4 linked regions of the Neodiprion lecontei genome follow. The protein of the gene in region 3 binds, or shares a complex with, the protein of the main gene of each other region. Links are inferred from orthologs where the notes say so. Each region holds a gene or a part of one and is shown on either strand. Other genes may lie near its edges.

What was found.
Region 1: integrator complex subunit 2 (region 3) and integrator complex subunit 9 share a complex: the UniProt entries of both Homo sapiens proteins name them as parts of the integrator complex. The link is inferred for Neodiprion lecontei from reciprocal best matches to the Homo sapiens genes INTS2 and INTS9.
Region 2: integrator complex subunit 2 (region 3) and integrator complex subunit 12 share a complex: the UniProt entries of both Homo sapiens proteins name them as parts of the integrator complex. The link is inferred for Neodiprion lecontei from reciprocal best matches to the Homo sapiens genes INTS2 and INTS12.
Region 4: the proteins of integrator complex subunit 2 (region 3) and integrator complex subunit 7 are in contact, whole or in part, in a cryo-EM structure (PDB 8RC4), measured with the Homo sapiens proteins. The link is inferred for Neodiprion lecontei from reciprocal best matches to the Homo sapiens genes INTS2 and INTS7. Residues at the interface, in NP_065799.2 of Homo sapiens: Gln27, Lys28, Val29, Cys48, Arg51, Met52, Cys55, Ala56, Ala58, Asp59, Gln60, Ser61, Trp64, Phe92, His93, Ala186, Glu187, Pro189, Ile194, Val218, Asp220, Ser221, Asn223, Glu224, Ser259, Leu262, Lys263, Arg265, His285, Gly294; in NP_056249.1 of Homo sapiens: Leu38, Gly39, Glu40, Cys42, Glu43, Val46, Arg47, Asn77, Phe78, Leu81, Cys82, Leu84, Lys85, Gln88, Gln89, Asn114, Asp115, Pro116, Val117, Ala120, Ile121, Arg124, Val153, Glu156, Val159, Phe160, Ala163, Leu195, Lys196, Pro199.

The regions. Positions count from the first base shown.
Region 1 is NC_060264.1:21,326,780-21,333,389, reverse strand, and holds the start of integrator complex subunit 9, read left to right. Parts: upstream 1-2,365; 5' UTR 2,366-2,488; coding exon 2,489-2,497; intron 2,498-2,763; exon of another isoform or gene 2,764-2,871; coding exon 2,872-3,066; intron 3,067-3,411; exon of another isoform or gene 3,412-3,446; intron 3,447-4,700; coding exon 4,701-5,105; intron 5,106-6,018; coding exon 6,019-6,265; intron 6,266-6,425; coding exon 6,426-6,606; intron 6,607-6,610. UniProt on the Homo sapiens protein: Component of the integrator complex, a multiprotein complex that terminates RNA polymerase II (Pol II) transcription in the promoter-proximal region of genes.
Region 2 is NC_060264.1:35,287,948-35,294,747, forward strand, and holds integrator complex subunit 12, read left to right. Parts: upstream 1-2,818; 5' UTR 2,819-3,522; exon of another isoform or gene 3,523-3,800; intron 3,801-4,184; 5' UTR 4,185-4,206; coding exon 4,207-4,365; intron 4,366-4,598; coding exon 4,599-4,967; intron 4,968-5,090; coding exon 5,091-5,166; intron 5,167-5,247; coding exon 5,248-5,540; 3' UTR 5,541-5,687; downstream 5,688-6,800. UniProt on the Homo sapiens protein: Component of the integrator complex, a multiprotein complex that terminates RNA polymerase II (Pol II) transcription in the promoter-proximal region of genes.
Region 3 is NC_060262.1:33,653,463-33,663,101, reverse strand, and holds integrator complex subunit 2, read right to left. Parts: upstream 6,588-9,639; 5' UTR 6,491-6,587; coding exon 6,207-6,490; intron 5,735-6,206; coding exon 3,642-5,734; intron 3,545-3,641; coding exon 3,340-3,544; intron 3,224-3,339; exon of another isoform or gene 3,020-3,223; intron 2,936-3,019; coding exon 2,629-2,935; intron 2,316-2,628; coding exon 1,863-2,315; 3' UTR 1,164-1,862; downstream 1-1,163. UniProt on the Homo sapiens protein: Component of the integrator complex, a multiprotein complex that terminates RNA polymerase II (Pol II) transcription in the promoter-proximal region of genes.
Region 4 is NC_060266.1:20,109,732-20,119,394, forward strand, and holds integrator complex subunit 7, read left to right. Parts: upstream 1-2,771; 5' UTR 2,772-2,846; coding exon 2,847-2,937; intron 2,938-3,450; coding exon 3,451-3,770; intron 3,771-4,275; coding exon 4,276-4,500; intron 4,501-4,618; coding exon 4,619-4,868; intron 4,869-5,110; coding exon 5,111-5,184; intron 5,185-5,294; coding exon 5,295-5,440; intron 5,441-5,521; coding exon 5,522-5,867; intron 5,868-6,626; coding exon 6,627-6,886; intron 6,887-6,979; coding exon 6,980-7,183; intron 7,184-7,302; coding exon 7,303-7,396; intron 7,397-7,474; coding exon 7,475-7,578; intron 7,579-7,936; coding exon 7,937-8,438; intron 8,439-8,515; coding exon 8,516-8,776; 3' UTR 8,777-8,993; downstream 8,994-9,663. Other genes in the region: cullin-5, read right to left, coding at 1-319, 412-726, 1,005-1,146, 1,226-1,402, 1,500-1,709, 2,010-2,042; molybdenum cofactor biosynthesis protein 1, read right to left, coding at 9,596-9,663. UniProt on the Homo sapiens protein: Component of the integrator complex, a multiprotein complex that terminates RNA polymerase II (Pol II) transcription in the promoter-proximal region of genes.

The sequences.
Region 1 (6,610 bases), on a different chromosome or scaffold from region 3:
GCTTATTATTCACGAAACGTTGTTTATTATTTCTTTTACTATCTAAATCCGAATGGCTGATACAGCAGCACTGTTGTTTCCACCGCAAGGAATTTCGCAGGAAAAAATATTACCTATTGTAATAATGTAATAATAACTTTTTAAAGATGGCAACCGAGCAACATGAATTACTATCAGCAAAAAACATAACAACAAGGTAACTAATTGAACAAACTACAAGTGCTGATTAAATTTGTGTTTCTTTTCTTTTTCTTTGTTTTTATTTTTATTTGTAACGAGAAACCATCTGGTTAATTGAATGATTGATTACATTGGTACGGTGAAAATTGAAAATAAAAAAAAAAGATTTTAATTTAATCAAGCAGCAACGACGACGACGATATATCTTCTACCACCACGTGAAATATTACAAACAACAATATCATTGAATTTTAATGACAAGAAAAACAAATATTGTCAAACTTCTCGAAATAGTTGATGAAAAAAAACCGTCTCATTGGCAACTTTATTATTCCGACTTGCATAACGTAATTATTTACTACCTATAATAACTATTATTATTATTATTAATAATACTATATAGCAACAGAAACTTCACCCCTCCTCCTGTTTTCACAACAAACAAAACTAGAAACGAAAAACTTATTAATTATTTAGCTCGGCTTAATTATATTTTCTATCTAATTATTTACGGAAATAAAATCTTATATCGTGCGATATTCGAGAAAATAATGTTATTATTTTGAATTTTTTTTTTTTTTTTAACTAAACTTTGTACGTTGTGTCGCAATTAATGATTTTATTTTTCTCAACGCGAGAATCACGATGCATAATTTTATTTATATTTAAATGTACTTATTCTTATTATTTTAGCCTAATTTTGCTAAGTGAGTATTTAATCAATTTCCGTGGTAGTTGATAAAGAACTTATTTCGCTCAACAAATTGATGTAGGAGATGATTGAATATATATTTTCTAGAGTTGAGGTTTCAAATGGAGGGCTTTCTTGGAAATGAAATCTTGATTTGCTTAATTATATATTATAAATGAAAATTGGTTGAACGGTTGATTTTCAAAAAAAAAAAACGGACATACCATCGATGAGAATAAGAAAATGCAAAAGTGGGAATTGCATCGTGCTGCAGAATTGGATGAATACGAAATACAGCAAGGTAAGTGCGGTCTTAATCAATTCTAGTATAGTCTTCGATTAGAATTATTGCAAATAATAAGTCTTTACAAATTCAATATTTATATAAATTTACGGTTTTGTATGTAATGTACTTATATTTTATTCCTGACATTCTAATTATGTTCAAATGTAGTCCAGTTGATGGGGAGTAAAACAAACCATTGCACTACAAATGGTGGGATAGTAGTGATTGTCGTGTATGTATTTTCGGCCTTTGAGGAGAAGGGTCCGTGCGATTCGCCATCCTGGATTAGTTGCAAAAAATTGGTCTTGTTATAATAATTCCTAAGCGGTTGATCCTGCAACAAAAAGTTATTTAAAAAAAAAAACAAATTTTTGTACGTTTGATCCGAAATAGCGGATCGCGTGACCCCCTTCCCCCTACTCAGGAACACACAGTTACAATTATTTTGTAATCAAACAAATAAATTCTCATAAGTACAACGCTATCGAACTCACTCTCGCATGAAATGGATGAATAATGATCACCTAGGAGTGTAATTCAGAAAGGGATAAGAGAATCAGGCATTCGCAATTCCTAGAACTTTGACGTCACCGAGCGACTGCTGAACGCTAGATGATCCGCCAAACCGGAGCGAGCGGCAGATCTCGTCCGACCAGTGCGCCGGGTTCACTTTAGCTACACTAGTCAATTCTAGCGTCTTTTGAAATACGACAGAATTTGATGGAATACGGTGCTGACACACGGTGCTAAATGTGGTTCGCAAAGTGTCCCTCAATTCTGCCCCCAATTTCCACCACTAGTGGCGCTAGTAGTTAGTTGCCCAGCATGTTTAAAACACCGCCAAAACGAGCTGAAAAAATACAAGGTTAATCTATTTTTTAGCAAAAAATCTTTAGTCTCCGAATCAATTTGTATGACCCTTTTTTGACTAATTGGACCCCCAGAACACAGAAAACCCACTAAAAAGAGCGTAGGACCAGCAGCAGAGAAATTGCCAAGGAAATTTTCGGTTTTTGACTGTAACTCTTGATCTACCCTGGAACCTGTCTGATATCCTCAGTCAACAGCTGTCTGGAAACGAAGTCTCATTTCAATGAGACCGTGCACGTGTGCCAATCAGAAAGCTTCAAGCGGAGAATCTTCCCTACCACTCGAATTAGGTTTCATGCTCTCTAGCTAGTCTTCTGCACCATGCTTGCACCGTGTGGCCGAGTAATACCGAGGATTCGGAAAGATTATGCCTTGTTTTGAGAGCAAGATTGTGTTTTGGGTTAGAAAAATTGAAAAAACACTGGGAGAAAATTACGATATCGTCAATTCAAATCATTCAAATGAAGCTGGTAAGAATGATTGTAATTGCGTTATATTTCCTTGAGAATAAATATGCCATTGGCATAGAATTTCAATCTTCGAACGGCTTTCTAAGCTTCTAATTGAACATAACCTGACCTAGCCCCATCAACTTACAAAAATCCAATTATTGAATTATGTATCACGTAAAAAGATATGATTTCGATAAATAAAATACATAATAAATTTCAGAAATTCAATTATGACAAATAAAATGGTTTTTCAGAAACAAATTTCACCAGATAATCATAAATACCTTTTTGTTCTTATATTTTCTTGACAAATCGATACAACTACTAAGTATTCATCATATGTTTTTCTTTCTACATTTATTTCAATTTTATTTATTTCATTATTATTCCAGTACTGCCTGTCCAGCGAGCCGACAAAGCCATGCCTGGTCTTGAGCTTCAAAGGCATAACGCTAATGTTGGACTGTGGTCTGAACATGCAGTCAATTTTGAATTTCATGCCGATGCCCATGGTGCCTAGTGCCAAGTTCAACTCCCTTTCCAGTTGGGTTCCCAGGGATAACAATCAGGATTGGCAAATTGAAGGGGTAAGACCTACATTATGTCACTGTCTCGATTTTCAATTACTATTATAGACTGATGAATAAGAATTCTCGACCTCGTATGTAATCTATTATAGAATCTTGGTGATCGGTCAATTAAGTAAACGTATTTTTAGTTAACGTTTCGACCCGGATATGGGCCCTCCTCAGAACGATTTATTTTTTTAACTGTCAAGAACAACAAAAAGATTTTTTATAAAATAAATAATAGTACTAGAAGTAATCAGACTTAAATATTGTAGATGTAATACTCTTAGAGCTATTATATATTATTGATTAGTAAGAACCTTTTGATTAATTGAAATAAGAATGTCTTTAAGTGTTATTTACCTTTTTTTTTTTTTGAATTAAGTAAGTGGACTAAGATGTAGTCGAATTCACAATTACAATTGGTGGAGACAGTGTTCTTTTGAGTGACGGTAGTCAATGTCAATCTTCAAGTTATTTTACATGTGGGAGTTAATAGTTGGAAGTCATTAGTTAAAAAGATGAAAGAACTATGTTTCTTCACAGTCAGTATGTCATTGTGTTAAAAGGTTTTTAAAGAAGGTCTTTTTAGCCATAAAATTAATTCGCAAGTGTCAAAGAAGTGGAGGTAGGCTCTTTATAATTAAGTTCCACATGTCTAACAAAAAATTATTGTTGGTTGAACCGATTGAGTCAACAGGTGAATAACGACTGATGGGAGAAAACAAATATAATCCAGAGTGAAGGTGAACCTATTATAAACAATTATACAGAAAAAGGAAAGGACTGTGTAATGTGGACAAAAAAAATTTTTTTTGTATGTAGTAAAGGTTAAACAATATTTGTTGTGTGGGCGGAGATTAAAGGTTTGTAAATATTACTTAAATGCTCAACATCTTGTCTAAGATTAACAGAATTGGTGTGACCTACAATGTTGCACATTTCTAGTCAGTCTTCTAATAACAGTCTTCTATAATAATTGTGTTCTTCACAAAGGATGTTTGTGTTGTCGTAATTAAAAGTGTGTTGTTTATCGATACTACGTTTTGTTAGAGCTATGTGACGCTCTTCAATCTCATGTTGAAACTGTTGAAACTGAATTCCGATTTTTCCACCTTTCAATAAGTTTCCTTGGTTCTATTATTTGATGAGTAATGCTATCATTTTTCACAAAGAGAAAATTTGTAAATTTCTGAACACTTGTTATCAGAAGAATTGATAACTATCGAGAAACAAATGAGCCAAGGTGAAAGGTTGTTCGAGTACTCGTAACATCAAATTAAAAGTATGAAATAATCAATTACCCAAAATACTGCAGATTTATCAAGGATACCGATGAATCGATTAATTGAAACAATCGATTGAGTGAGAACATCGATGATTCCGTTAATCGAAAAACTGGTCAATCAAAAACATTGATGAATCGACTAATCTGAAAATCAATTAATTAAGAATACCGATGAATCATTTTATTAAAAAACCAATTCATTGAAAATTTCGGTTAGTCGATTAATCGTCAAACTGAATTGAAATATGAGTGAATCGATAAACAGGGAGAAGAATTAATCGAAATGTCAGAAGAATCGTTTGAAAATTCTAGACCCAGATGCAAAAATTGCATTAATGAAACTGGTATTTGAACACATTGCCAGGAGCTGAAAGAGAACTGTGGAAGAGTATTCGTTGATTCAACGCCAGAGTTTTGTCCACCGTTAGAGAAGATCACGGATTTTTCTGAGATTGATGCGATACTGATATCGAACTACACTTGCATGCTCGCACTGCCGTTCATAACAGAAGGTACGGGGTTCAAAGGTATAGTTTATGCGACGGAACCGACCCTGCAAATCGGTAGATTCTTCATGGAGGAGCTGGTTGAATTCATCGAGCAGACACCTAAGGCTATGCTGGCCAAACACTGGAAAGAAATGCTCCATGTTCTACCTCCGCCACTCGCCGATGCCATGAAACCCAAGTCTTGGAAGCACCTCTACTCTATGGCCGCTGTCAACTCTAGCCTTGCCCATATCCAGATGGTCGGTTACGATCAGAAACTGGTGAATATCAATCTATTTGTAGTCCATGGGACTGAATTAAAAGTTGGGAGCAGAGAAAAAACGTTTAGAAAATCTCCAGCAGTGTTGGTTGCACCAATAACGGTATCTACTACGTAATTGAAATGATTCCGGGCCGATTTGAATTGCACAAACTGGCATATCAACAATTTGCAAAAACGGTTTCATGATTAAGACGTTCAAGGTGCTCAAACTCTTGTGTTTTAGATCTGATCCTAATGTTTTTGGGTTGAGTTTATTCACTATAGAAATCTACGGTGATCCCTTAAAAAAAATATCGCTAATGGTTATCTCCAAAATCGATAAAAATAGATTTTTGTAAGTACGTTTCCTAAGATTTTCGTCCATAATTACATTTATGCGTTATAACTATTCTATATTATAAAATTTCTTGAATGTTTTTTAAACGAATTGTAAGGATCTGGTCAGTGAGTAAAATATCCTCAAAAACGTTAGAATCGCATTAAAAACAACATCAAAGTTCAAATATTTCGAACGTTCTATTGTAACATCTTTTTTCAACTGGTTGATAGCTTATGTTATTCGAATTCACTCAGAATCGTTTCTATCACATGGTGAAAATGTTGTTTCATTCGTCTTCACTATCATTAGCACCAATAACACTTGTGGAAATTTTTTGAACTATTTTTCCTCTTATCCAAACTTTAGACTCAGACATTACAGTACAATTAATTGCTCAATTATGAGGCCAATAAAGCGTCAAACATTTGAATCTTAGTATAATTAAAACCATCCCACTATTGTGCAAAAATTTAAGAAATAGAATGAGTTAAACTCCGATTGATAGCAAATGTACCAAAAAAGCGCAAGAAAATTGAGAGTACAATACTTGATAAATAAGGGAGAAAAATGTGATTATACTTTTTCCACTCAGGATATATACGGCGCCTTAACGGTGACTCCGATAAGTTCGGGTTACTGCTTGGGTAGCAGCAACTGGCTGATATCCTGTGACCATGAAAAGGTGGCCTATGTGAGCGGCTCCTCAACACTGACGACTCATCCACGACCGATGGAGCAGACGACACTGAAGCATGCCAACATGTTGATACTCACGGGCCTGACGCAAACGCCGACTGCAAATCCGGACACGATGCTTGGCGAGCTTTGCATGACCGTCGGTAAAAAAAATTGAGAAACGAGAAAAAAAAAAACACAGATTAAGAGTCCTTGCTCAGATATTGAAAGTACAGAAATTTCTGTAGTTTGAAACCTTTTTTTGTGCCTCTGCTGAGTTCTTCCTGATGTTTTCTTTGTTTTTTTGTCTTCTCAATCTTACAGCGATGACGCTCAGAGCCGGCGGCTGTGTTTTGATTCCCTGTTATCCGTCTGGTGTTGTTTACGACCTCTTTGAATGCCTCAGCACACATTTGGATAAGTCCGGCTTCTCTCAGGTTCCACTTTTCTTCATATCGCCAGTCGCTGAAACATCTTTGGCATATTCAAATATTCTGGCCGAGTGGTGA
Region 2 (6,800 bases), on a different chromosome or scaffold from region 3:
CGATGATTCTTAGTTCAATTCTCTGTTGTTGGTGTAGACTGTGTTACATGATTAAATTTAACTAAATAAATAAATAATAATAATAATGATAATAGGTGAACTCTCGACGAGGAAAGATAAGAGAATTGTAATATGTACTATACGACGACCAGTATATAAAACCCGATACTCGTAAAGATTTGGAGCCAGGATTAGCTACTGTCACTGCCTCGGCGAGATTGACTTTTACAAAACTAAAGATTTCATGCGACATGCAGATGCTACGAGAAAAGTTACTACCTACATGTACTAGGTATACAAATAACTAGTTAATTGAAGGCAGCTTGCTAAGTCAAGGAGTGAAAATATTTTCAAGAATGAATGAATTCTCATAAACTAACCGAGCAATGATTAGTTTATGTCGGACGTAAAACGACTCGTTGCAAAATTCTATGTCACAGATAACGTGGAATGTGTAATTGAATTATATTATTTCTATTGGTTCTGTGAGTCCTTTGTGGTATCGGTTTTTGTAACGTCCTATGTAAACGTTTACCTATACTAAACAAATACATACACCTATGTATATACACTATACATATATACATGGATGAATTGCGAGTAGGCGTGTCTCTTTAGCAATAAGATGAGGTTTTCTTTACAATGTCTGAACAAAGAATTTCACAGATATTATCGGTACCTTGCGTTTATTCATTATTATCGTATCATATGTTATACCTATACAATATATATAAATGCGCTTTCTAATTAATTATAACTTAAGGTACTTACCAAGTATGCGTATGAAAAATTACAACTCGCCTCAGAAAATCGATAATGCTGATTTATTTGTTGATCTATTTTCTTCAGGAAAAAAGCAAGTAACTTAAGTCTAATATGATAATGATGATAATAATAATAATAACAACAACAACAACAATAATAATAGTGATAATAATACTAGCTGAAGATGTCAAGTCTCAAACGGAAACTTTTCTACAAGATAAAAAGGAGACATCGATGACCAATTACTTATGTTTCTGATTCAGTTGAGCTGGAATTCCTGCTTCGATTCGTATATTATTTGGCAACAAAAAAAAAAGTTACGACCACCTTTACCGTTATAGAGGCAACTATTCTGATGTTACTGAATTTTGTTTCTCATACGAGTCTTCCAGACATATTTTCGCCAAGATATATTGTTCTGAATTATTGTAATTCGTAAAATCTATCTAATCTGAGTTTCGTTTCATTGTTTGAAGCCGCGAAATAGATTTACTTCATGTTATTCGAAAATATCTTTCCTTCGAGTTTCAGTTTCGAAATTCTCAATAACGATTGATTAAACGTCATACAAATGCTTGCAATTTGTGATTTTCTTAAAATTGTTGTACATAATTTATAGCAAACTGATTAAGAAGTCAACGATTAGCTGATAGACTTTTTTTTGTTTTATAAACTTGTAAATAATACTATAATAATATTTTATAGCGCTATATACAAATAAATATTTGCGCTTATCTTGAATTATACACATTTAGGTAGTATTTATAATAGATCTGTGATTGTAATATTTTTTTAACTCTACCATATTATTTATATTATTGCCAACTATGCGTGGTGCGGTATATTGAAAAATTGTGGTTTTTGGATCAGTTTGCTTACGGATTTCAATTAGTAGATAAACCCTAGCCATAGTTTATACTTGACTTGCGAATACCGTATAATCAGTATGAGTATACATAAAAATTGTAGTTTGTATACGTTGTGTACATACATACCCAGAGTATTGTGATTCCCTGAAGTAAGATACTCGTGTGTGGTTCAACAATAACGTCACCTGCAAAGAGCGTCGTGTAGAAAAATGTATTTACCTAAATATGTATGCGTGTAGTTCATTTTCCAGTGTCATGCGATTACAGTAAAGAAAATTAAAATCAAGAAAGGTTTTCATGCGAGAGAATATGAATGTAAATATATAAAGAAAAATATATAAACGTAGTTGTATTGATCGATGTAGCAACAAGTAATATGATAATGACTATGATACGTGAAAGAAGAAACAAAAAAGGATGTAATTTGCAATTACCATCAACAACATCGATCACAATGACTTTACTTTAGACATACACAAAGTTTACCACAAAATTTTCATATAATTTACTTTACACAATTTCCTTAAAACGTACGACTGACTGCTTCACAATCATGCTATGGTCAACACAATACCCCGAAATGTTAATTTTTCAATAATACTATTGTTATCATCCTGATAAGACTTTCATAAAAAAAAAAAAAAAAGGAATACTTATAAATATAATATACATTGTACAGCAGCCATGCTTATTGCATAGCGTGAAACTGTTTGAGCATTTCGAAAATCCTAAGTTTCAACCTGTACAATATTTTTAATACAACAAAAATGATGATACGCTGTTAATATAATATGTAAGCTACATATTTATTTATACGTCGGCTATCCGTCTAACCGCGTGTATAAATATCCCTGCGTACTCGAAATGAAAATGATCATAACTTATTCTCTTCTAGCAACAAAATTGTACTTAACGTAAAATGTAAAATAAAAGATCTGTGTGTAGATATGATGCTCGTAATTACGCCCATATCGTCACCCTATTAAAGATTATTTTGTTATAAATCACATAACGCGTTATGACCGAAATTCGGATGTATTTTATCATGTAATTTAACATGTGAATACGAATTAATACATAACAAATCATACGATAAATCACGAAGTATAGATTATAAGATAAAATACACAACAAATCATATACCGAAACCTATGATTTCTCATATGATTTACGTATTTTATGTTATAATCTATACTTCACGATTTACTATGAGATGTAAAAATACGTATTAAATTGTATTCACATGTTAAATTGCATCATAAAACACATCCGATTTTCGGTCATAACATTATGTGATTTATCACAGAATAATTTTCAGTAGGGTTGATTACAGTACGAATCAGACCGCCGCTACCTAAGAAAATATGACGTCACAACAGAAAAACATTCATTAGGCATATGGACGTGCCTACAGACCAACTTCGTGCTACAAACATGCTCTAAGGTTTTATCATGGAGCAATATTAATGGTTTTATATATTGCAAATTTCAAATTACCCTCATGGTGTATTACACTACGATTACCCTTAGATTCTCGTCATTTTCTTCTCATGTCAAGTTTTCGAACAGAATATCTTTCGTGGACACTTATCGGTCTAGAATGAAAGCATTGTGATTTGCGATATTTAAATTGTTACCGCAATCGGTTAAAACTTTGGAACGCACCAATTACATCACTGAACTCGAACGAGTGCTTCGAACTCTATCGGCACAACAGATAACTCGCCGATACGATCCCCAGATGTCGCTACGAATATTCAGTAATCGCAAAACAAGAGACTAGCATGAGAAATGGGTGGGAAAACTCGTGTTAGTAGTAATAGTAGTATGCATGTACCGTCTTCTCAAGTGGTCTGTGGTCCTTCTACCCCGCATCCGATGGTATTGGGTATAGCCTGCCGGTTGTTTTACGCTATACTCCGTGGTTTTACGTTTTATATAGCGTTGTTCCATACATGCTCCGCACACATCAGCGTGAAGCACGTACTTAAACAGCACTGCACAGGGCCAATAGCCACAATAGCAGTGGCACGTTGATTCTGCACAGAACTGAAGTAGACAGAAAATACTGATCCAATAGTACTTATCTATCCATTCCTCGGTTTTTTTTGCAAAGATATTATTTAGGTTTTAAATCGATTTCAATGGTCGTATAATGTTAGGACGGTAATTATTAGAAACAATATATTATGTAGGGAATGACCTCATGTTTCTATTTAAGTCTGTTAAATACCGAAGTGAACTATTGTATCTAAAATAGCTTGGCTTGAAAAGAAAAATAAAATACCCTCGATATCAGAATTCAAAATCATTCTTCCACCATGTAAAACACATCTCCCTCATTCCTAAAACAGGAGAAAAACTTCAAATTGTTCAGTGAAAATTTAAGCAAATATGAGGAATTAAAATTATTCGAACCCCTCCTTTGTTTGATCACTTGTGATGCCTTCTATTTTTGAAAGGATCTCCAATATGATAAAAACATTGTCTTCCTTGTAAGATAGAAGTATAACCACGCAGCATATTTTATTTTTTAACATTTTTTCCCAGGTGAAACAGTGTTGCGATAATAATGTCTCAGTTGGATCTCGACCCTCAATTCATGCAAGGACTCCGTCTCCTACATTCGCCGAACAAGGATTCAGCAGAACAACTTCGGTCCCTTCTTGATGACGCAATCAGACAAAAACATGGCCCAGCGAAAATGCTCTGCAATGTTCTCCATAAAAAGGTACAAATAATAGATTATTTTTATTTTCCCAGTCCAGGTCTCAATTTGTTAATTGTTCTTGATATTGAAAAGGCACTGTTCAACAGCATAGTATCAACATTATTGTTTAATCGCTTCATTTCGATTTTAATAATATGCTATATGAAATCTTATCGATTTTTGCCTCTCCCCAAAAATTAAAGGATCAATCTTTGTTCCATTGCAATATCGCTGTGAATTCATTTATTTTTCAGTACACAATGGAAGAGCCAGTGCTTAGTGACCACAGCAGTGGTAGTAGCAAGAAGAGCAAAGGATCCACCACGTCATCCAAGCACTCGAGCAAATCGAGTAAAAACAGTTCACCCATCAACCTACCTTCGCACGACACTCCCCCAGATATTATCCAGACAGATGACACTTTCGCCCTAGAGATTCTAGAAGATGATTTAACATGCGTCATTTGCAAGGGAATGGATGTAGGGGCAAGGAACCGACTTGTGGAATGTGTAGAATGCCATTCTCTCTATCATCAGGAGTGCCATACGCCTCACATTCTGGATACTCAAATAGATGATCCGAGACTAGTTTGGTATTGCTCGAGCTGTTCAAAATCTCAACAGGTGGGTAAGGTTTTGTTTGAAAATTCTATGCCCACAGACATTTTTTCATTTTGAGGCAGGTCTTCTAATTGTATTTGGAAGCTTGGTTGACTTTCATTTTAATTATTCCTTCAACTATCTCAGGCGTCAAAGGACAGAAGTTCGCCGCGAACTATTGCCGAAGGAAAATCGAAAGATCACAAAAAATCATCAGGTTCCAGTAAGTGTACCAAAAGGAAGAAGAGTTCAATGATATTTTCATACAAAATGCTTGATTCCTTCGTTAATTTGATTTCCGTAGCCTCGAAGCATTCCGACAAGTACAAATCAACTTCTAGTAACGCTACCTCGTCACAGTCGAATAGTGGCGGCAGTACACCAACAGGTGCATCTAATGCACCAAAACTCACACCGAATATAAACATTGTCAGTGGGGACAGAAGATTAAGGGATATGATGAAGAAAGTGAAGCAAGAGAAACGCAGTAACAGTAGTGGTAGTAGTAAGCATTCTTCGTCAAATGCACTTTTATCTTCGTCAAAAACTGCCCAAGATAAGTCTTTACTGTTTAAGATAAAATCGGGCTCAGAATGAATGATAGGAATTAAATCCTTTTTTTTATGTTCCTCTCATGCCGAGCAATCTTGCTTCGAGAGCCGATTTTGGATTGAAAAAAACTCTGTATGTAAATGTATCGAAGTAAAACAACCTTTTTTTTTATTTAAAAAAGAGTTTATCCAATTCTGACCAAACTTTTATCCCTTGCCCCTTTTTTTTAGACAGGTATAACATGGTATGAAATGAATAATGGGAAGACATAATAAGAACGTTTAGTTTATAATACCAATATATTTTGCGATTTCTCAAATGTTTGTCCCTACGTCCCATTGAAAATTTGGCAAGAGTCGTTTTCGTTTGTTTGTTCATAATTTGTTTTTTTTTTTATCTCATTTTTTTTCCGAGCGTCACTTAGAACCTAGTAGGTGCGGGATTTTTGGTTATTATGTACAGGGGTGTCATGGGGATATATTAGCATGCACACACATATATACATATTTCGTAATCTAATAATAAAATATGTTCGCTTCCTATATCAAAGTGGTGTGCCTACTCATATTACCCAACAATACCTAAAGTATTTCCAAGTACCCGTACAGAGTATGTTCCTATTTAATGCTAATCCAATATGGTGACTTAAGTGATTTCAAGCGCGCAGCAATAAGTGAATATTGATTGGTGAAAAGTTTTAATTTTCGTTACCATCTGTACAAAATTTATAAATATTTGAGATATATGTATATTGTATGTATATATCAGCTGTAAAACCTATGTTCGCGTTTGTTGTGCACAACTTATATGAAAATTATAACAGAAACAATTGGCACATTTGTATAAAAAATGTACGTACGCGACTTCAGAATGTCTATATTAATGTATCTATATACCTTTTTATTTTAATTTTTAATTTTACTTTATATTATATCAATATGAACAAAGCTGTAATTGGCGTTATTGTTTTCTGAATCGTTTCATCTTTTCCTTTCTTTCATCTAAACAGCTACAATCATAAATAAGTTAAAATCATCATTTCGTACACAAATGTTAGTCTGTTTTTTAGTTTCTTCTCGTATAACACAAGCTGAAAAAGTACACTGTAACGGAGATGATGGACTAACATGAAAGTTTCAAAGTGATCACATTGGATATATTGAAGCCGGAATATGCTCTTGGGGTACTTTCAAAAAATTTTAACTCCTTGTGGTTATTTGCACGCATTCGCGCACTAAAGTAATTGTCTTCGGTGAGTCTGTCGTCCGTTCGTATCTGTGATCCACCCACTACGTAGCCGATTAT
Region 3 (9,639 bases):
TTTGACGCACGGCCTGGACCGATTTTACACTCAATATTACACTCAACTGTCTGCTGGGCAGTCTATGTACAAAGTGGTGGAACCATAGTGGAATCAGATGAGTCGTTTGGCTATCGCGCACTAAAAATCAAACTTTTATACTTACAGTTTATTACAGCGCTTAAAATCACGGTGACAATTGGTGAATTTTCGTACTTGCACAGTCACTGAAAATTGTAAAAGATAAATTTTCCATTGCGCAGCAATTCTCGTAATGAAGCGGTATAATGAATTTTTGTAATTTTATTTATTTTCATTTTTATTACAGTGTGTAAGTGCAGGGCTGGTAGGAAGTGATTTGTAGTAACTTTCGTTATTCTACAAAACCTCTGTTACTTTTTTAGTGCAATACTACTTTATGATTTTCAGTGATATAATATAAATTAAAAAATTCTATCAAATATTACTTCCTGTCAGTTTGGACAATATTTTCTTCCAAAAAATGTTTTGGATGTATGTAACGGTTTTTACAAATTCATTACTAATAGTCTAATAGTTATTTCTGAAAGATTCTATAATTCTGTGCTGCAGCTCGAGGTGGTGAACATTCTTACTGTGCATGCATCGCTATTTGAAAATATTTTCATAGTGCAAAGCGAGATCACAGGGCACAGCTGTAAAACTCACGTTCAGTTCAGTTTCAGTTGGCTTGGTTATTACCAGGCCTGGTACAAGAAAAAATTGCTTTCAATAATTGACAACGTTAAAAATTCGAATTCTAGTAAAATCAAATTCTCTATCAAGATTCATGGCAGCGAATCACTATCAAGTTCCCGTAGGTCGACACACGTTAGTTATTTTTAACCTCGAGTCATTGTGCTACGAAAATCTAAGTCATTTCTGGAGAGTGAAATTTAGCCTGAACGTATACCTTTTATTTATTTTATAAATCTCAGATACAGAAAATGGTGTATACAAAGTTCAATTTACGTTTATTTTTTCAAACTACGTGTACTGGTTTTCAGCATCTTTTAACAGAGCATTGTTTCACGCTTGACTATACATTTTGTTATTACTACAATTTCGAAATATAGAAAAGAACCTGATGAAATCCTTTGCCAGTTTTAGCACATGGTGATAGTGTTCTGATTGGATAACAGCTAATAAATTTTTATTTCCAATTGTAAATCTATTTTTGAGCAATCGAACGCAAACCAAATGACAAGGACCATCGACTGGCTCCTGTAAGTAAGCATAAGCTCCACGTCTCTTCAACGCTATAAATTTCATTGTATATTACTTAAAGGAAGGGCGTGGCAGCTAGCAGGATGTAATTATTATTTTTAAATAATATTATTAACATTAACTACGATGAAGTCTACGCTCGTAATCACTTTTGTCGCTTATTCGGCAAGAGGATTTTTTGCAATGTAAATAAACTTATATTTATACGACACTCTGTTTTATATGAAATGTGCCTATCGTACTAATTGACATGTTCCATTTTTATTAGTTTGTTGTAAAAAAGAATACAAAAAATTAGGAGTCTTTTCCTGGGTGACTTAAGTTTAAAAATCCAAGGAAGTAGACTATATAACTCAGTAGATGATTTATTATCTGTGGAAAGGTAATTTGAATACAATCCAAATTTTATAATAAAGTTTCACCGCTTAAACTGTACATACCTATACACACATATATATATATATATATATACACACACAAACAACTTCAGTATATATATATATATAAAATATAAAAATGAATTTGTCTTTATAAATACAAAAGGTACTTTCGTTCAATATTAATTTATATTTTTATATTTTTAATGATAATGTGTATACAAAATGTATGTACAAGTCATTTCATGTGTATGGTATAATTTAGAATACTCTTGACTGGAGAATTGCTTTTTGCAGCAAAGCAGCGAACGTTTTGTTGACCTCGCGACATAATATTTCTGCGGATTTATCTCCCAGGGCTGCTTGGGCCACACTAACTCGTCCAAGTTGTAGCAATAAAGCAGTTGTATCTTCAGCCAAAGGTGGAAATGCCAAACAGATCCTTGTAAGAGCTGGTAAAACAGGCATGAATAACAACACTCTACCTTTAGCTGGCAAAACTCCTAATAAAGTTGCCAGTGTATTAATAGCTAGCCGTGATACACTCAGAGCTTTTGGTAGGGCATACTGAACTGCCAAATGAGATGCTAGATCAACAGCAAATACTTGCTTCTCTGGTTCAGGCTGCGACAACAACTCTGGTATCCAATCGAGACAAATGTGCATAGAGGGAATACCAGAAACAGTAATTGGTAATAGCTCTCTTGGATATCCCTGAAATCATAAATAAGGATGCTTCAAATATTTTGTTTCATTTACAAAGGCTGGAAACCTGCAAAGGAATACTTCAACCAGTGTTTAGGGAATGTAACAGGATGCATCACGAAGTTAGTGGCAAAATTCAATCAGCCAAGTAGATATTTGGAGCTTATTCAGTTACAGAAAGCAAACCGAAATTTGTGCTAGTATTTCCAGTTCTGTTTAATTTTCTTACTCGATTACTGAATGGTAATTTCTTGTGTTATAGCCATAATCATTCAATAAAGTTGATAGATTAACCCAGGGTTTAAAAAATAAGTATACTCACTTGAAAATGCACTAATTTTGCTAGTGAAGGATCAGCAATAAAAACTTGATGAAGGTATGAACAAACGACACTTCGTATTTCCCTTAGGGACCACATTTGACCAGGCACTTGACGATCTTCTTCTGTTTCTAAGCAGGCTTCTAAGAGAATTTGTACTGCTGCACTCTCTTGCCCTGCAACCAGAGCAGTTCGTAGATCCTCTCTTTCAGCTTCGCTGGTTAGTTGACCAATTTTTTCTGTTAAGGGTCTGTCCTGCATATGTCTAGATAACTGAGATCGAGATGCAGCTAATGTTGCTTGCAAAATACTGTTGGAGTGGAGAAATAAATCGAGTCAGTTTCTAATTCATCAAGAATGATATACTGGATTTGTATTCAACTCAGCCTTTTACCGACGCTTCTTTCTTTGATCTCTCAAACTTATGCCACACAGACTTATAACGGCATACTGTTTTGTTAAAGGAAGTTGTGGACGTCAAGAATTCGTATCCATGACTTGCAAAGAGGTGAAAATTTTCCAATGCAATAAAATCCAAATTTTAAGAAATAATGTCATGTCAAATGTTGAAAGTATGAAAAACAATTCGTAGAAACGTCTGTTGAACAGAAGTGATATTTTACAATATTTCTGTAGAACACCAAAGAAGCAGGCATTGAAAACTGATTACAGTGGGTTGCAGTAGGCTGAAATGAAAAAGTTCATATTTCTTACCGTAGAATAACTGACAAGACGGGCGCGCATCTAAAAACTCTTGTGTGGCATCGCAAAACTTGCAGTGGGTCAAGGACAATGTTTTCTTGAGTAAGAAATACATTCCTGACCATTGTATTTTCAATGATTAATGCATTGATTGATAGTACCCAAAGGCATCTTGGTAATACAGTGTTTAATCTTAACCAGACTTGTTTATACAGTTCTGAAAAATTAAATTGAGTATTAGAATTTTCAACATTACATGTATATTATTTTGCGGTAAGATTTACTTAGGAATCATTGTGAAGTACTATTTATACCTTGAATGTATCTTGGTACTTTATTGTCCAATATTGCTTTGAAGAAATGTATAATGGTTTCCGCATGTGGCCAAATATCTGTAGGCTTCATGTCTATAAGCTGACGTAGTAATCTTCCTGTTCGGGATGGGCAAGTTTCGATATGTCCAAATGCCTCGATAATTGCTACATCATTAATTACAACATTGTCGTAATTAGCTGTCATTGAGTCTATATTTATCATCTCTTCATCCAACCAGTCATCCACCAACGACAGATGTGGAAAATGTGTGGCTAAGAGCCGCAAAAGAGGAGAAAACAATCCTGCGTAACTCATTTGATCCCTTTGAACTTGTTGCAAGAGATATTTTATTGGCAACTCAGATAAGAACTCGGTTGAATACGACTTCACTTTTTTACCCTGTGATATGAAATTATGCATATTTGATAATCTCACATCCTCGTACAATAATAAATAATACAATAGCAACAGTTGTGACGTTAGGGATGGTTTTGAAGTGTCAACATCCATGTAATCATTTTCCATATCAGCAATATTTAGAACAGACTTTTTTGGATCGAAATTTGCTCCAAAAACACTATTCTGGAATACTCTTCTGATTTCATCCTCTGTGATCGGTTTATTGGTATGTTCGGAGGTTTTGTTAGTTGTAACTAAAATTGAATTGACGTATACCTCCACCAGAGCTGGTAGTACAGGATGTAGGGGAGGTACACTGTCGCATATTTGACGATAAATCCAATTTTTAATTGGTACTTTGTGTTTGGCAAACGCTCTTGATTTTAGCAACTGATGTATGCAGTGCACAGGCAAAAACCCGGGGATGTTTGCGCTGAGATTTGCTGTAACAGGGACCTTCACTGCATGAGATGTGACAACCTGTTCAGTGAATATTTCTTGTGTGAATATCTGCTTCATTCTAGTGAGATTATTTGGCCTGATGGGTATTTTCATTCCTAGAGTAGCGCAGACCAGCTCACAAATAGCGGATAGCTGATTGCTGTGGAAATGAATAGCCATGAGAAGTAACATTTCACCAAAGCTGGCAGACACGCCACTTGTACTTTCGAAGTAAACTTCTTCTCTGACAAGCCACTGTACCCATTCTATGCTACGTTTTTCAAGATTACTGTGTCCTATCAGCGACGGGCAAGCAATTAGCATGCACAATCCCAAAGACACGAATCTGACCCCAGCTGGAGATGGTGGGGGATGAGAAGTCAATAATTGCACTATCATGACAACTTCGTCGTCCTGAAATTTTATCCCGCCGATTCCTCTGAGCGCGCAATAAAGTCTGAGCAAGGCACTGGCTTGAACAACATAAGACTCTGCCAACTGACTGTCTGAGCTGTGGGAAGTAATTGCCTTTAGTCTTCTAAGCAGTTCTTCTCTAAGAGATTGCAGAGCTGTATGGGACTCCCATTTTCGTTTCTGACCATTCCTGACAAACATCGCGATCCAAGTTCTTACTTGCTGATCATTTCCAAGCAACAATCCAGACACAAAAGCAACCATGTCGCTTTCTGGTTGTAAGTTATCGATATTCTCATGTTCAAGACTCAGAGTTATGGCAAGTGCAGGCATGCGGCATAGTTCAACACATTTTGCTCTAACAGCTAAAGCCTGACTGGGATTCATTTGGCACAGCATGGTCAAAGCTTGGGTACGAATTCGACCTAAGGCAGATTCTTCTTGTCTCTCTCCATTTGCGATCAGATGAGCACAAACCTCTGCAAAACTATCTGGACTGTTGGCTACGATCCAGCATATTATCTCTGGACCATGTTTAACATGTAACAAAGTTTCCGCTATGTCTAGAATCGACAATAGAGCAGGGAGTTCTGCCAGGGCTATGCAAATAACATCGCTTATTTCTTCCATGTAAACCGCATTATCAAATAAATCTGATTGCTTGATCTGAAACTCTTGATTTCTCTGGAGCTCTTGTATCTGAGAGGCTATAAAAAGGATCTCACTGAGTACTAAGCGTAGTCGTCGAGTAGAGTCACTACGTTCGAATTCCAAAGCTAATCCGCTCTGTAATGACTGAGCAAGAATGCTGTCGCTTTGAACACTTCCAAGTTTTTGTCTGAAACAAATAAAATTGAATCAATCAAATTCCTATAAGTTGACTTTGAATTATTTCTTTCACTTTGCTAGAAATAGAGTCTAGCAAAGCCTTTCACCTAAGTGAAATACATTTATGATATTCCATATACACATCGGTAATGTGTCTTTGATCCAAACATTTTTCATTTCTGGTGTATTTTCACAGTAAAATCTTAATGCACATTACAACATTTAGCTAGAGATTGCTGCCAGAATATGGATAAGAAATGGAATGAAGTGATAGCACAAATAGAAGAATGATAAGAGAATTGTTTTCAAAATTTGAACGTGCTATTAAGACCATTCTCAGGTTACCGTAAATCTTTCAAAAACTAGAGGTAAGACAGAGTTTCAGTAAGTAGGTTTTTTGATTTCATTGTTGACAAACTGTTGTTTGCGTGCCAAAAATCTATGACAGATGTTTGGGATAACCTAACTTAACAAAAACTAACCTCAATTGTTGTTCCTTACGAACGTCAGTTTCTAACGCGTGAAAGTCTATTGATAGAAGAGCTACGATGGAATTAACTAATTCTATCCCGGATAATATCGTTAATATTTCTTTTCTCCCTTCTGCGCATTCTTTTGTGATGTCCAAGGGTGAGATCAAGCTCATCCTAACCAAACAGGGTAGAATTGGTCGTATTTCTTTCTGAGAGCACGTCGATAGTTCTTTGATATGTACATTTTGTATCGCAGTAAAAACTCGGGGCGACACTGCAGTGTTGGTTGGCATTTTTAAACAACTATTTAATAACGTTATTAGAATTAAATTAAATATCACCACATCCGCGTACGAGCAGACGCAACGTCAACCTCGTTTCAAGTTTCAATTCAGCTATGTCGCTTTCAGGAAGTAGTAAGCCTGACGCCGTGGACGACGGCAATTCGGTAAGCAAAGGTTAACGCTATCCTCCAGAGAAGCCTGCATGAGGAGAGAGGCCAAGCTCTGACGCCGAATAGGTTTTTTAAACTAATTTTCGAGCTACGGGGACGGTAAATACGTATGTCCATAGCTGACTAATACTCTGCCGTATTTAGCATCACGAAGACAGTGTATTGTGCAGTGCATATTTTCCATAGCAAAGTGCCACCGCAGTGGTCGAAACAGAGTAATTCACAAACATTAAAAATTCATTCAAATTTGCAACGGCATTTACGCCGAGCCGTGTCGTTGGCTAAAGACAACAACGACGTGTTACGGAAATTCAGTAAACATCCGATCGCATTGCGCGCAGCTCTTAGCGCTGCTGACTGGTCGAAACAATTGTTTATGAGCGCCTCGCAGCATCAGTCGCTTCCGAGCAGCCGAAGCGAAATTACGTGGCGATTTAGGCCAGAGTTCAGCTCAGCGTTATTCAGGCTCTGTCACGTTATTTGAACAGTGCAGTACTCGTACCAAACTCATCGGTGTATAATCTGCGAATGATAGATTGTGGCCCAAAGAAAAATTTACGCGATGCGAGGAGGGAATTTACCTTAGGCGGCCAAAAAGTAAATGGTTTTTGGGAGTCTTTTCAACGTGGAAGAATTGAATGAATATTTTCTATACTCTGATGATCTTTTATTACTAGATTGCACTATATCTGGTAATTCTTACAAATCATTTGAACCATAACTGCGAAGATTGTAATTTTGATCTGAAACTAACTGAACAGAAAGTTTTAATTTTCAGATTATTTTTAAAAATATGAACTTAAATCCACCCATTAGAGTTAAAAATTTAATGTTTTACGCGTGTTCTAAAAAGGAGGTGCGATTTTTTACCGTTCTTTCACAGTTATTTTACAATCAACAAAGGGTATTTTAGATAATGAAATCACCTCAACGATAGGTAGGTTTTAGCCAAATTGCCAACGCGAATGAAGATTCGCTTAATCAATTGTGGTTCAAATGACTCGAAAAAATTACCAGATGTAGTTCAAACTAGTAACAAAAGATCCCCAGAGTTAAGAAAATATCCATTCAATTCCTCCCTCCCGAAAACATTTCCGAAAACCACTTACTTTTCGGCCGCCTAAGGTAGATTAATTCCCCCTGCTTCTAACTGATTTTTCTATTTTAACATATTACGAATTATATTCTAATTCGTTTCAGGTCACTGAGTTTCATTGACTCCACTGAAAAATCAACATATCTTTATTTAGGTTGAGATTTGACCACAAATCCAATAAATGTTCAATGTAATAACATTTTGCAAATGATACAAAAGTAGTGACATATATCTTCTGTAGTATTCAACATACCCGAAACTATAAAAACAATGATTTTATGGGGGCTTCGATATTTTATTTATCAGTTATGTATACTATTATGTTATTAATTATACTCTCATCCCTTTCACGTGGATGAGAAGTTTAGTTCAATATTTAGGCGAAAACAAACGAACTCGAGTTTTCATTTACGTCAGTTTGTAATTGATATTCATAAAGTGAACCAGAGTTACTCAAGGGCACTAAGTTTCTCTCTTCCTAAACAGGATCAATGAATTAATAGGGATAAATCATTATGGAACTCTGGCAAAAGTGTCAGTTTGAAAACTAAACAGCGCGTCTCGTCTAGCGCTTTTTACTATGCTTTTTACCGACGGTCACGTTTACGCGGCAGGTCAAACCGAATCCAGGTGGCACTACTTGACTCGTATTTGTTTGATTAGCCACAATTCAATACACTGCCGGTTCTTCTGACACGTCGAATTAAAACTTCAAAACGTTCGTAATTTTAATACGCGCCAATTCCTGCCATACTTTTGTATTGCATAAAAAAAATTGCCATTCAGGATCATATTGAAATAGGCTGAGAACGAGTTTGGTTACAAGCATCAATATATAATGGTAATTTCATTTATACATGGTTAATCGTAATTGTAACATATAATTTATTCGTGAGAATCAACAAGCGGTTGTGGTATATTACATAACAACAATAGCAACAATATTATAATGCAAGTACAATAACTCTAGAATTGATTTAAACTTAAGAAACGTTATTTATGATATAACATTGTATATAATGTAATACATCGTAAATCTCTCAAATATTTGTATAATTCATAATTAACAAATGTATACATACATGTATAAAAAGTATGTACAATTCAGGTATGTTGATAAAATTACACCAGGGAACGAAGATTTTGATCTTGAATCCCAACACAAGTGGCTCAAAGTCAGTCTATGTAATTGTATCGCCTTAAAAAATTTGGTAAATTTTTTCATTAAATATCTGTTTACTTCCAATGCATGGAAAAGACTTATCAACATTTTTTATGTCAAATCTATTATAGACGTAAATCACCTCAAATGTATGTATTACCGGTTTTTAAATCAACGAACAAATTATTCTATACCAATGGATGCTGAGGATGCGGTATCTGCGGCTTATAATTAGATATTAATTATGCATTGTAAAGTATAAAAGTTATTTTAAGATAAAGAATATTTCGTCGACTTCGTAATGACTGGAAGCTCTCAACCTTCAAATTTGTAATGAATTGTTGATTTATGGTAAGTTTGAAGAGATGTTAGCTTAGACGCTCAATGAATTCAGACGAAATTAACTTGCTAAGAGTTAGTGAAAATTTTTATGAAAAAGTATTCATTTGCCGTTTTAACGGGTACTCATCATGAATTAAGTATGGCTGATAATCGATAGAAAAAAGAGTTACATTTTTCCGTGATTTCTCCAAGCAGAGTAGGAAAGCTTAATCGAGCTAGTATGTTTCGTGGTAAATTCAGGCATTAGAGCTTACTGTCATGCTATAATATTATAAGCAAAAACTGTACTCCAAAGTTGCTATAAAGTGCATTCGGAAGCGAACATTATTCGTAGGGTATATACACAGCTTGATACAATGATTACTGCGATTACATTCGAAGCACCAAC
Region 4 (9,663 bases), on a different chromosome or scaffold from region 3:
GGAGCAGTTACACCGGTACCTTGTCTAACAGGCAGTTCAAGTCTGAATACAGTTGAATCATTGACAACTAATTTATATGCCTTGTCTCTGGCTGTGAGGAATCGCGGATCGTCGTCAAACGCCTCCTTAACCAGAGTAGAAAATCGTCTAAAGAGATCCAACAATCTTTCTACGTATTTTTCAGAGTCTTGGGTTATCACATCGACTGCTGCCATCATATCGGCAAGACCGGCACTCGCTATGTGATCTTCCAGGTCTTTTAACATTGGACTCACTCCATCTGGTACGCGATCCATCAACTTGAGCATGAGTCTGAGCTCTGTAAATAAAAATTGTGTGAAAAATTTGTAATGTATTTAATGTTAGCAAAGTTTATATTGTCTAAGATTATTAGTCTCTTTCTCAAATTACTTTCTGTTTCATGATGCTGAATCATGCGAGGACATTCGGCAAGGATGGCTGACTTGAAGGTAGCGACAAGTACAGAAACACAGCAATCCGTCAACAACTGTACACTTGCACTATTTGGCTCCAAATATTTTTGAGCTCTCAATTCTTCTTCTCTCAACTTTACCTCTGCATATCGCATGTAAGTCTCTACTCCATGCAGAGAAAGTTGCTCAGGAGCTTTTATTTTGTAAAATTCTTCCGTGGCTTTTATGTACGATGCCTCAAAATTATCTCTGTATATTTGCAGCTTGTCCATTGTATTTGAACACAGATTAACTGTAAGAGATAAAAGTGAAATTAACAATTAATCTTCAACTTTACTTTTAATTTCTTGAAATATAAGTCAGGATTTATTTTAACAAGACATCCTATAAAACGTTCTACATCAAGTTTTCCACTTCAGATCATAGTTCAAGTTTTGTTTGAGACAATATTATTCTTACAATAACTATTGTTGAATCAATAATGTGTTTGATTGAATTAATTGTGAAATTTTCTTTTTAATTCCCATTTGTTTTTACTGAAAACTCCTCTTTCACTTGCATAGGCCTCACCATAAGATTCTCTAACACCAATGACCAACTGCGAATCAAACGCCTCCCCATTTCTTTCCGCCCGCACCAGCTTCATGGCTGAATCCTGTAGCCTTTGTTTTATGTCTCCAAATATACTCTGGTTCCAACTGTCCAGCATCAACTATTGCTCAGAAATAAATATTGACTTGATTAATAAATCTAGCAGCAGAAATCCATCAAAAATAAGGAATGAGTATTACCTTTCTAACTATACTTTCCTCCGCTTGATTCCTTTTCTGTGTAGTAGTCTTTCCAGCAAGCGAAGTTTCCAGTTGCCTAAACGGTGTTGGCAAATAATTACATTGGGTAAAAAATTTGCGCCATTCAGTTATGTAGGCTTTAAGCAACGCCTGCTCTTCCTGATGCGCCAATACTCTCTGAATCAACGTAAGGCAAGGATTATAACATACATAAATTGGAAGCGAGTCACTCGCAGATTCCGAGAGGGAAAATGCTAATTACAACATTGATTACCTGCTGTGCTTGTTGTATGAAATCCATTATGTCCACTTTGAGAGTGTCCCTTAATTTGGGAGGACCTTTGTCGTCCCATAGGCAGACCAAGTGAACTGAATAAAATAGATCCTGCCATTCCCCTTGTGTAACAGCTTCTTGTTTCAGTAATTTCAATATTACTGGGCGCATGCATGGCCATTTTCCTGCGAAGCTAAACTGATTCCGGTCCTGCATAAATAGACGATGAAAAACGAGATCAGTAGGCACGCAGGTGAGAAATTTTGAATATTTCGTGATGAATAGTATCAGCTTAGTCGCAATTCACTCAATATCGGCGGTTTGTTCAGTGATCGAATTTGATTTTCAATGCCAGATGAGTCATTTTCAGTCGAATAGCTCGAGTATCATGGGAATTCGTTCGCCCAAAATTTGGGTCTACTCAGTTGTTGGTGATTGATATTTTCTCCGTCATTAGCAAAATCCCTTCACCGTTTACCTATTATTTGCGGTTATTTAATGACAACTAACCTTTAACATCGCCGCCACACTAGTTTTTGACATGTTATAACTAGTTGCTTTCCCCCATTTTCTTCAAAGCCAGCTGCAGCGAGGAGCCTGAGATGGCCTACACTAGCATTTTTCGTGTCCCTGATATCATAGCGCCCTCTATGAGAAATTCATTTTTAGGACTAATTTCCACGGTGATCGGTCGGTAAGCATGTGTCAGTAGGTGACCAATACTCTGCCGTGGACTGAACTCTGCCGTTGTCAGCATAAGATATAGAACACCCTGATACCCGGTCGTAGACGAAACGGACGAAACTGAACAATTTACAAACATTTACGGCCCCCGTGATTCTAAATACGGTAGAATGCTAATCGCTTACCGACATTCGATTACTGAACATGCACCTCGAAGATTTGTTCCAAATACCTATCTCGTGATTGATAGCGCTACAAAATAGAGAACACAAAAGACGTGCACGGTGGGCTCTCTCAGGATTCTCTCTGCCAGGCACCAGTGAGACAGCCCTGCAGCCATTTGAAAAGAATAATTTTATTTCGTTATCAGCGAACAATTAAATTCGATTGAATTGTTTCTTTGAAAACGGAATATCGAAAGCAATTAGTTAATTAGGATCGTCAGATAATGGCAAACATAATATTTACACTATATGGAAATGTCACTTCTTCTGGAGATTCAAACTTCGAGCCATATCGATAAACTGAAAATTGCCTAGGGACCTTACGGGTAGTAATTATATTTTGTACTCACTGCAGAAGTAAACATATTTGGATAGTGCCGGAAAAGAGCAAACGTTTTCAATTTCTATAAAACTGAAATAAAATACATCATTTTGTAAGATGATCGGCATGAGGATGAACGCATTCAACGATACAGGTTTAGGAGAGCCGGAGCAAGATGCAAATTCAGCTCTAATCGAGCTGGATAAAGGTAATTGCAAAATCAAAATTGTAGGTTAACTACTTTGATTGTCAAAGCTACCACGTTGAATTTCGATGGTAAGGCAGAAGATTAACTAAATTTGCAGCATCTTCGTAGTCTTAATATTCTCCTCAATCTTACTTCCTGTAGGACTACTCGAATGCTCAAAAATGTTAGAATCTTCGCCGGGATATGACGTGTTATTGAATTTGAGGTTAGCTTATGCATTTCTGGTTTTCAAACAAATATTCGGTGTTATTACAGAACAATTCGTATCGGAATTTTTATTCAACATAGATAAAACTCTATAGCATCCAAATTTAATGCTAAAGTTGATTGAAATTTTCAAACAAGTCAGTAATAAATTGTCGAACACTTGATAGTGATGAGAGTAACAGCTTGTGTTTACAGATGAAAAAATCTTAACCCTTTAACGGGCCGAATGACTGGATGATTAAAAATTCAAATTTCTAAACTATTCGGGAAATCTGGACATCCTGTGACAAAGTTTTAATGTTTTAGGTCTTCGGTCGAACAAGATAGGGGAGCAGTGCGAAGCTATCGTACGATTTCCCCGCCTATTCGAAAAATATCCTTTTCCAATCCTGATAAACTCTTCGCTGCTCAAGTTGGCTGACGTCTTTCGGATAGGCAGCAACTTTCTGCGCGTCTGGGTATTGAGGGTTTGCCAACAAAGTGAAAAACACTTGGACAAAATTCTTAATGTTGATGAATTTGTCAGACGAATTTTTAGCGTTATTCATTCCAACGATCCAGTTGCAAGAGCGCTTACTCTGCGTACCTTAGGCAGTGTTGCCGGGATCATACCAGAAAGACAACAGGTAATTATGCAACTGTCATTCATTCACTTATCTATTATATACGAGTACGACTTCCATTAAAGTATAAAAAATTGTGCTATAAAAAATGTAAAAACATACAACAAATTTTAATATGCATGTCCAATTATGTAGAGTTATTTATAACAAAGAGTAGAGAAAATTAAACATTACCTTATTAAATTTAATTCAATTAAAATAGTGGAAAAAACGTTTTGTGTGAAGCCTTAAAGATTTTTTGATAGCCAAAATGTTACCTATTAGTCCTAAATTTAAACCAAAATCTGTAAACTTTTTATTTTCATCTATTTTACGAAATCATAATTACTTTGATAATACTACGTTTAAACGTTTGTTAAAGTTAGCGACCTTTACTTATTATTCCTTATCTAAGTTTCCTTGTAAATGCCTCACCTATCTTAATATTTTGTATATTCTATCTTTCTTAAAAGACATTTAATGCTCGTTGATCTAAATAAATAAATAATTTATTGTCAATTCTGTCAAGGTGCATCACAGTATAAGAAGATCGCTCGATTCTCACGACTCCGTCGAAGTTGAAGCTGCAATTTATGCTGCCCAGATGTTTGCCGCCCAATCGAAGCTCTTTGCAGTTTCAATGTGCAGTAAGATATCGGACATGATTAGAGGACAAGCTACTCCTGCTACAATGAAGTTACAGTTGATACCAATTTTGCAATACATGCATCACGATACGTCAACCGCTTCGATGGTACTAATAATCTTACATCGTTCTTGTTTTCACATCAGAATAGTTGATGGGCAAAATTTTGTATCCAAAATATTTTGTCCAATAATCGTTTATTTCCTCTGTTTTCATTGACACACAGGTAAACGACTTGTGCATGGAATTACTGGGAAGTTATCCAGCGGTGGAATTTGTAAGGGTAACATTAAGCGCTTTGACCACGCTGGCCTCTGCCACTTTAGTAGACGTCCCAGAACAAGTTGCGTTGCTATTACGCTACTTACACGACGACCCAAGAGCATTCATTAAACGCCATGCTCTCGATCTTCTGCACTCTTTGGCTAGGAGAGGTGCGCATCTCTGGCCACAGGGAGCACTCACAAGTCTGATCGGTATGTTAGTCGATAAATTTTTGCAAATTATATTTCGTGACAGAAGTGATTCAGGATTATTAAAGATGATCGAGCAAATGAAGAAGTAAACAAGGCAGTAAATTTTATCTTCGATTTACGTGTGGACTAGTCTGGATGTAGATGAGAAGTAATGTAATTTTAAAACTGACATTTATGGAGATTCTAAATTCTATGGGTTTAAGTTTAGCCAATAAGTCTGATATATTTATTTCCTGTTAAAGATAGCACAACAACACTGTTACAAGATGGAACCGTTAACTCTGGTCTTCTAATTAGAACTTTGGATGTAATTGAGGTGATGTAATGTTTTTCATATTTTTTGAACATTTGCAAAGAAAGTTAGTTCCAAAAAAAGTTCAAGTGAAATCAATTGTAAGGCTCAAAACTAATTTTCAAAAATTACAGGTACTTAGTCAAAGTGCGGTAACCTGTGACGCGAATATGGAGAAAGATAGCCCGCTACTCTGTCTGTGTGTCAATGCATGTTACTCACCTGATCTTCTCGTTGCTGTTAAAGCAGTTACAATCCTGGCTAGAGTAGCTTGCTACTGGTAAACAAACACTTTATCTCTCTATTAGGAAATCCCGTAAATGCTTAAACTGTGATTAATAACGATTTTACATTCAACTAGTTACGAAGAAGGTTTGCCGGCGTATGGAGATGCTGACGTGGTGTCTTGCCTTGAGTCGCTGATCGTTTTGTTGGCGTTGGACGAGGGTCATCTGCGCCAGTTAAAAGTATGCCTGCGATCAACGGTGAAGCTGTGTGAGGCTAATCCGAAACATTGCCCTATATTCGTTGACGCCATTGGATCAACTCTGATAAATGCTAACACTGAAGGAGGGCAAGACAAGGGTCAAACTGTGGCACTGTGCGAAGCATTGGGGGCTATAGGCAGTTTGAGTGAAAATGCGTTGCTTCCGCTCCTTCCTGACATTCTGTTAAAGCTTGAACAAACTTCTCACGTTCACACAAAGGTAGCAAAAAGTTCCGGGTGTATGGATATTTTAATTGAGAGGGTATACGAGTAAGCTGCTGAAAATGATTTCATTGAATTGAGGTTTTTTTTGTTGAAAAATATGTAGATCGAGCTTTATTTAAATATTTATTGTACTAAAATCAAGTAATAGAAAGCATTTTTATTGACGATAGTGTGAACAATTATGCTCCTTGATATGTTTTGCAGTGTCGACGAACAATTAGCGACTATATCTCAGAAATGACTGAACCGATTTACTTCAAGATTGGGGATAGTATTCTTGGATAGTTTATTCTCTCTGTTACGATCCAACTTGTTTTATAATCATCATATTTATTTGTTGATTACAAAAAAAGTTTGAAATTTTCTACGAAAAATCGAATTTCAATTACGAAAGGTTGACGTTTTGTTAAACAAAGGAAAAAATAAATTTACAGTTATAGCAAAAAGGATAAATTATCCAAGAATGCTGGCTCGAAATTTATGATACATCGGATCAGCCGTTTTTGCAATATTATCGGCACTGCAAAAGATGTCATTAAGCGAAATGGTTGATGTTATTGTCAATAACAATGCTTCCATTTGATTGTAATTAAAAAAAAATAATTTAAATCAATCAAATCTACATGCTCTTAATTAAAACAAATTCCAAATAAATTCCCAAATTCACCCACTTTTTTGGATTTCTGCTCGTAGATTTCCCCTTAAGTGCAGTAGCATTGTTAGAATTTCGAAATGAACATCTTTTGCTTGTTAGGTGATGCTGTGCACTCTACTGTTCCAAACTGTGGCAGGTGGTTACGAGTGGAACGCAGAGTGTTTGAAAGCGATCGAGAAAGTCGTTGTTAGCGTTGACGGATGGGCAAAATACCGCATCGCTCGTGGAGCTGCGAGGTACGGCCACCATAGTGTGTCTACAAAAATATTTCAAAGCCTTAAGGAAACCGTCGCTTCTGAACAGTTACACTTTTGGCTGTCCGGTCTTTACTTGGTCACCAGCGCAGAGAGTCATCTGTTGTAAGTATCAATTAACAATTGACAAATTTCCATTTTTTCGTTTATTCTCTAAATTACAACGGAACTGACTGTTTGTGGCTTACTATAATTCAGGGACGACCCAAAAGAGAGCGACGGAGTCAAGAAAAAACTGGGCACAGTTGAAAGATTAAATGGAGCAATTGCCCGGTATGCTAGCGCATGTGCATCCCTTAAAGCAGCCAGCACACCATTACGGAGTCTACAATTCGCTAGCGAGTATTCAAAATTGCGATGTGAATTTCTTCAGTGTATGGTGCAGCTTCTACATTCCTGCAGGTCAATGTTGCATTCTGTCAAAATCTTACGCTGTGGCAAAGACGCATTTTGTGACACGTAATTTATTGCCAACATGGATTAATTTAGATATTGACTCAGTATATCTCTGTTGGTCGCAGGTCTCTGTGTACTGCTCCACCACCAGCAATTGCAGCCACAGTTGTTTTAGCCACTAGAGATGACTTGCAACGTTTTGGACGTGTTACTCAACAGGTGAATATCAATCGCATTATTTTTGGTAAAAAAAATTTATCTTGCCTAATAAGAAACGTATTTTTCCCCTTCAACCAGCTGAGAAAGTCTGCAAAAGAGTTGAGGAATTGCGCAGAGAATTACCAAACGCTTTATCAATCTGCTTTTGACGCTGATCCAGGATCATTAGCAAACATCAGAGCGTATCCTTTTTATATGAAAATCGCGTTAACAAGCCTAGTAGCCGGAAATCTTGCTTACGCAAGTGAAAACAATGACCTTTCTGATTTAAAAATCCTATTTATTATAGTTATTTGAAAGTGTATGAAATTTCAGTATTCATTTGCAATCAGTAAATCATCGCTTACAAAAATGAATAAAGTTTCACAGTCACGTAAGACGATTGCTTTAAAAAATATGACTTTTCGTCAAAAAAGAAAAACAAAAAGTAGTCCTTGAATTTGAAAAAGGAATAAAAGTAAGGGAAGATATTGGTTATCAATCCTGCCTGATTCAACAATCGGGTTTTTTTGTTAAAATTCCTCAATGAAAACGCTACAGTTTGCAAGAAATGTGTCGTTTGATGGCAAATAGCGTAGAACGAGTCTGTGGGGGTGTCGGAGCAGCGATGTGTCAGCCTAACGAAACTGAATTCAATTTTGGTGAATCCGTTGAGATGAGACAACTGGCACGCTGTTGCACAGAAGTGTACAGATTGGCGCCGAGCTGTGGTAGAGAAGGCGACGGAGAAGGAGGGGCGATTAGTCACGTAAGAGTCGGGTGTTTAATAGCGCAGGTGACGCTGCTGGCTGGGGGTAAAGTCAGGCTTCCATTGCCCCGTTACTTTTTCCAAGCACTGCAGGCCACCAGCGTGAAGCTCTCCGTTTCTCCACAACCTCGTGTTCTTGGTGAGCCCGTTTCTCTACCTCAAGGGAGCCAGCTTGCCCTCAAAGTTGAGGGTGTACTGAGACACGGCAGACGTGCATCTCTGTTTCGGTCCGTCGCTGCAGTCTGCATTTCCATATCCACTGCCCCTCCATCAAAAATCAACATAGATCAAAAGGTACGATTTTGTTTACTCCAAATTTTACCTGATTAGTGAAATCGGGACGATGATTGTATATTGCTTGTTGTTTACAGGATACGAATATGAACGAACTGCAGCAAACAGTGATACCTCACCGTGACTTCTTCGCCTGTGAGTTTCTACTCTCTTTAGGAAGTCCTGGGGCGGCAGCTGCTGTTTGTGGAGGCAGCACAAGCGGAAGCGGTGGCGGACAATATCAAGTGACTGCCAGTGCGAGTATTCTGGATAAAGCTGGGAATGTGTGGAAGTGTGGACCTCGTTCGACTCTTCAAGTTCGAGTGCACGAGGAACCTACAAAACGGAAATTACCTTGATCTGTGCAAAATACTTGAGATAAATTAGAGCAGAAGATGACAGATACTGCGCTGGAATAGATTCCAAAAGTAAGTATTCATTGTGTCTCCTCCGGCAAGAGAACTTGCATTCAATGTGTTGCAAGCAGGCTAGAAAATGAGGGAGAAGAATGTGTGGAGCTAGGTATTGAAATAATTATGAAACGATAGACGCTCGTGACTTCAAAACAAATTTAGTATGCCATTATTAAAATATATATATAATAGTATATTTTCTAGTAACGTTTCAATATAAAGTATAACATTGGAGTATAAAAATATATAAAATATATATAACTTGACAATGATATACGTATAGGTGTATATCAGCTTAAATAATGCAACAACAATTTTCGTGAATTTTTATCAACTAAATAAATCTTTTTTTTTATTTATTAACAAATCAATATTGATCTCTGCCAGCAAAAACAATTTGATTCGTTTGTTTTCCTCGTAATACTCAAGAGCTAGTTCAATTTAAAACATTATGTTCATATTTTTACTATATCGTAAATGCATTTCCAAATTACTACAGAAAGTAGATCATATTTTGCGTGAAGCAATTGCGATAATTCGATACCTGTTTCAGTCCAGAAAAAATAAATTGACTTATAACTGTATTCTTTGATGATGATAATATTAGTGCACTCGTAAATTAAATTTTAATTTAAGGTAAGTTAATCGTACTCCTTAGAATAACAGCAGCTAAGGAATAACAATGATAATAAACAAGTATACAGAGAATGTGGATTTTCTTCGATCAGTTTGTAAACTTCAATCTGAACCATCGATTTCGAGATCTCATCTGTTAAAATTGCCTTTACTCCCTCCAGTTTTTGAAAGCAGACAAATATCAGATATAACCATAG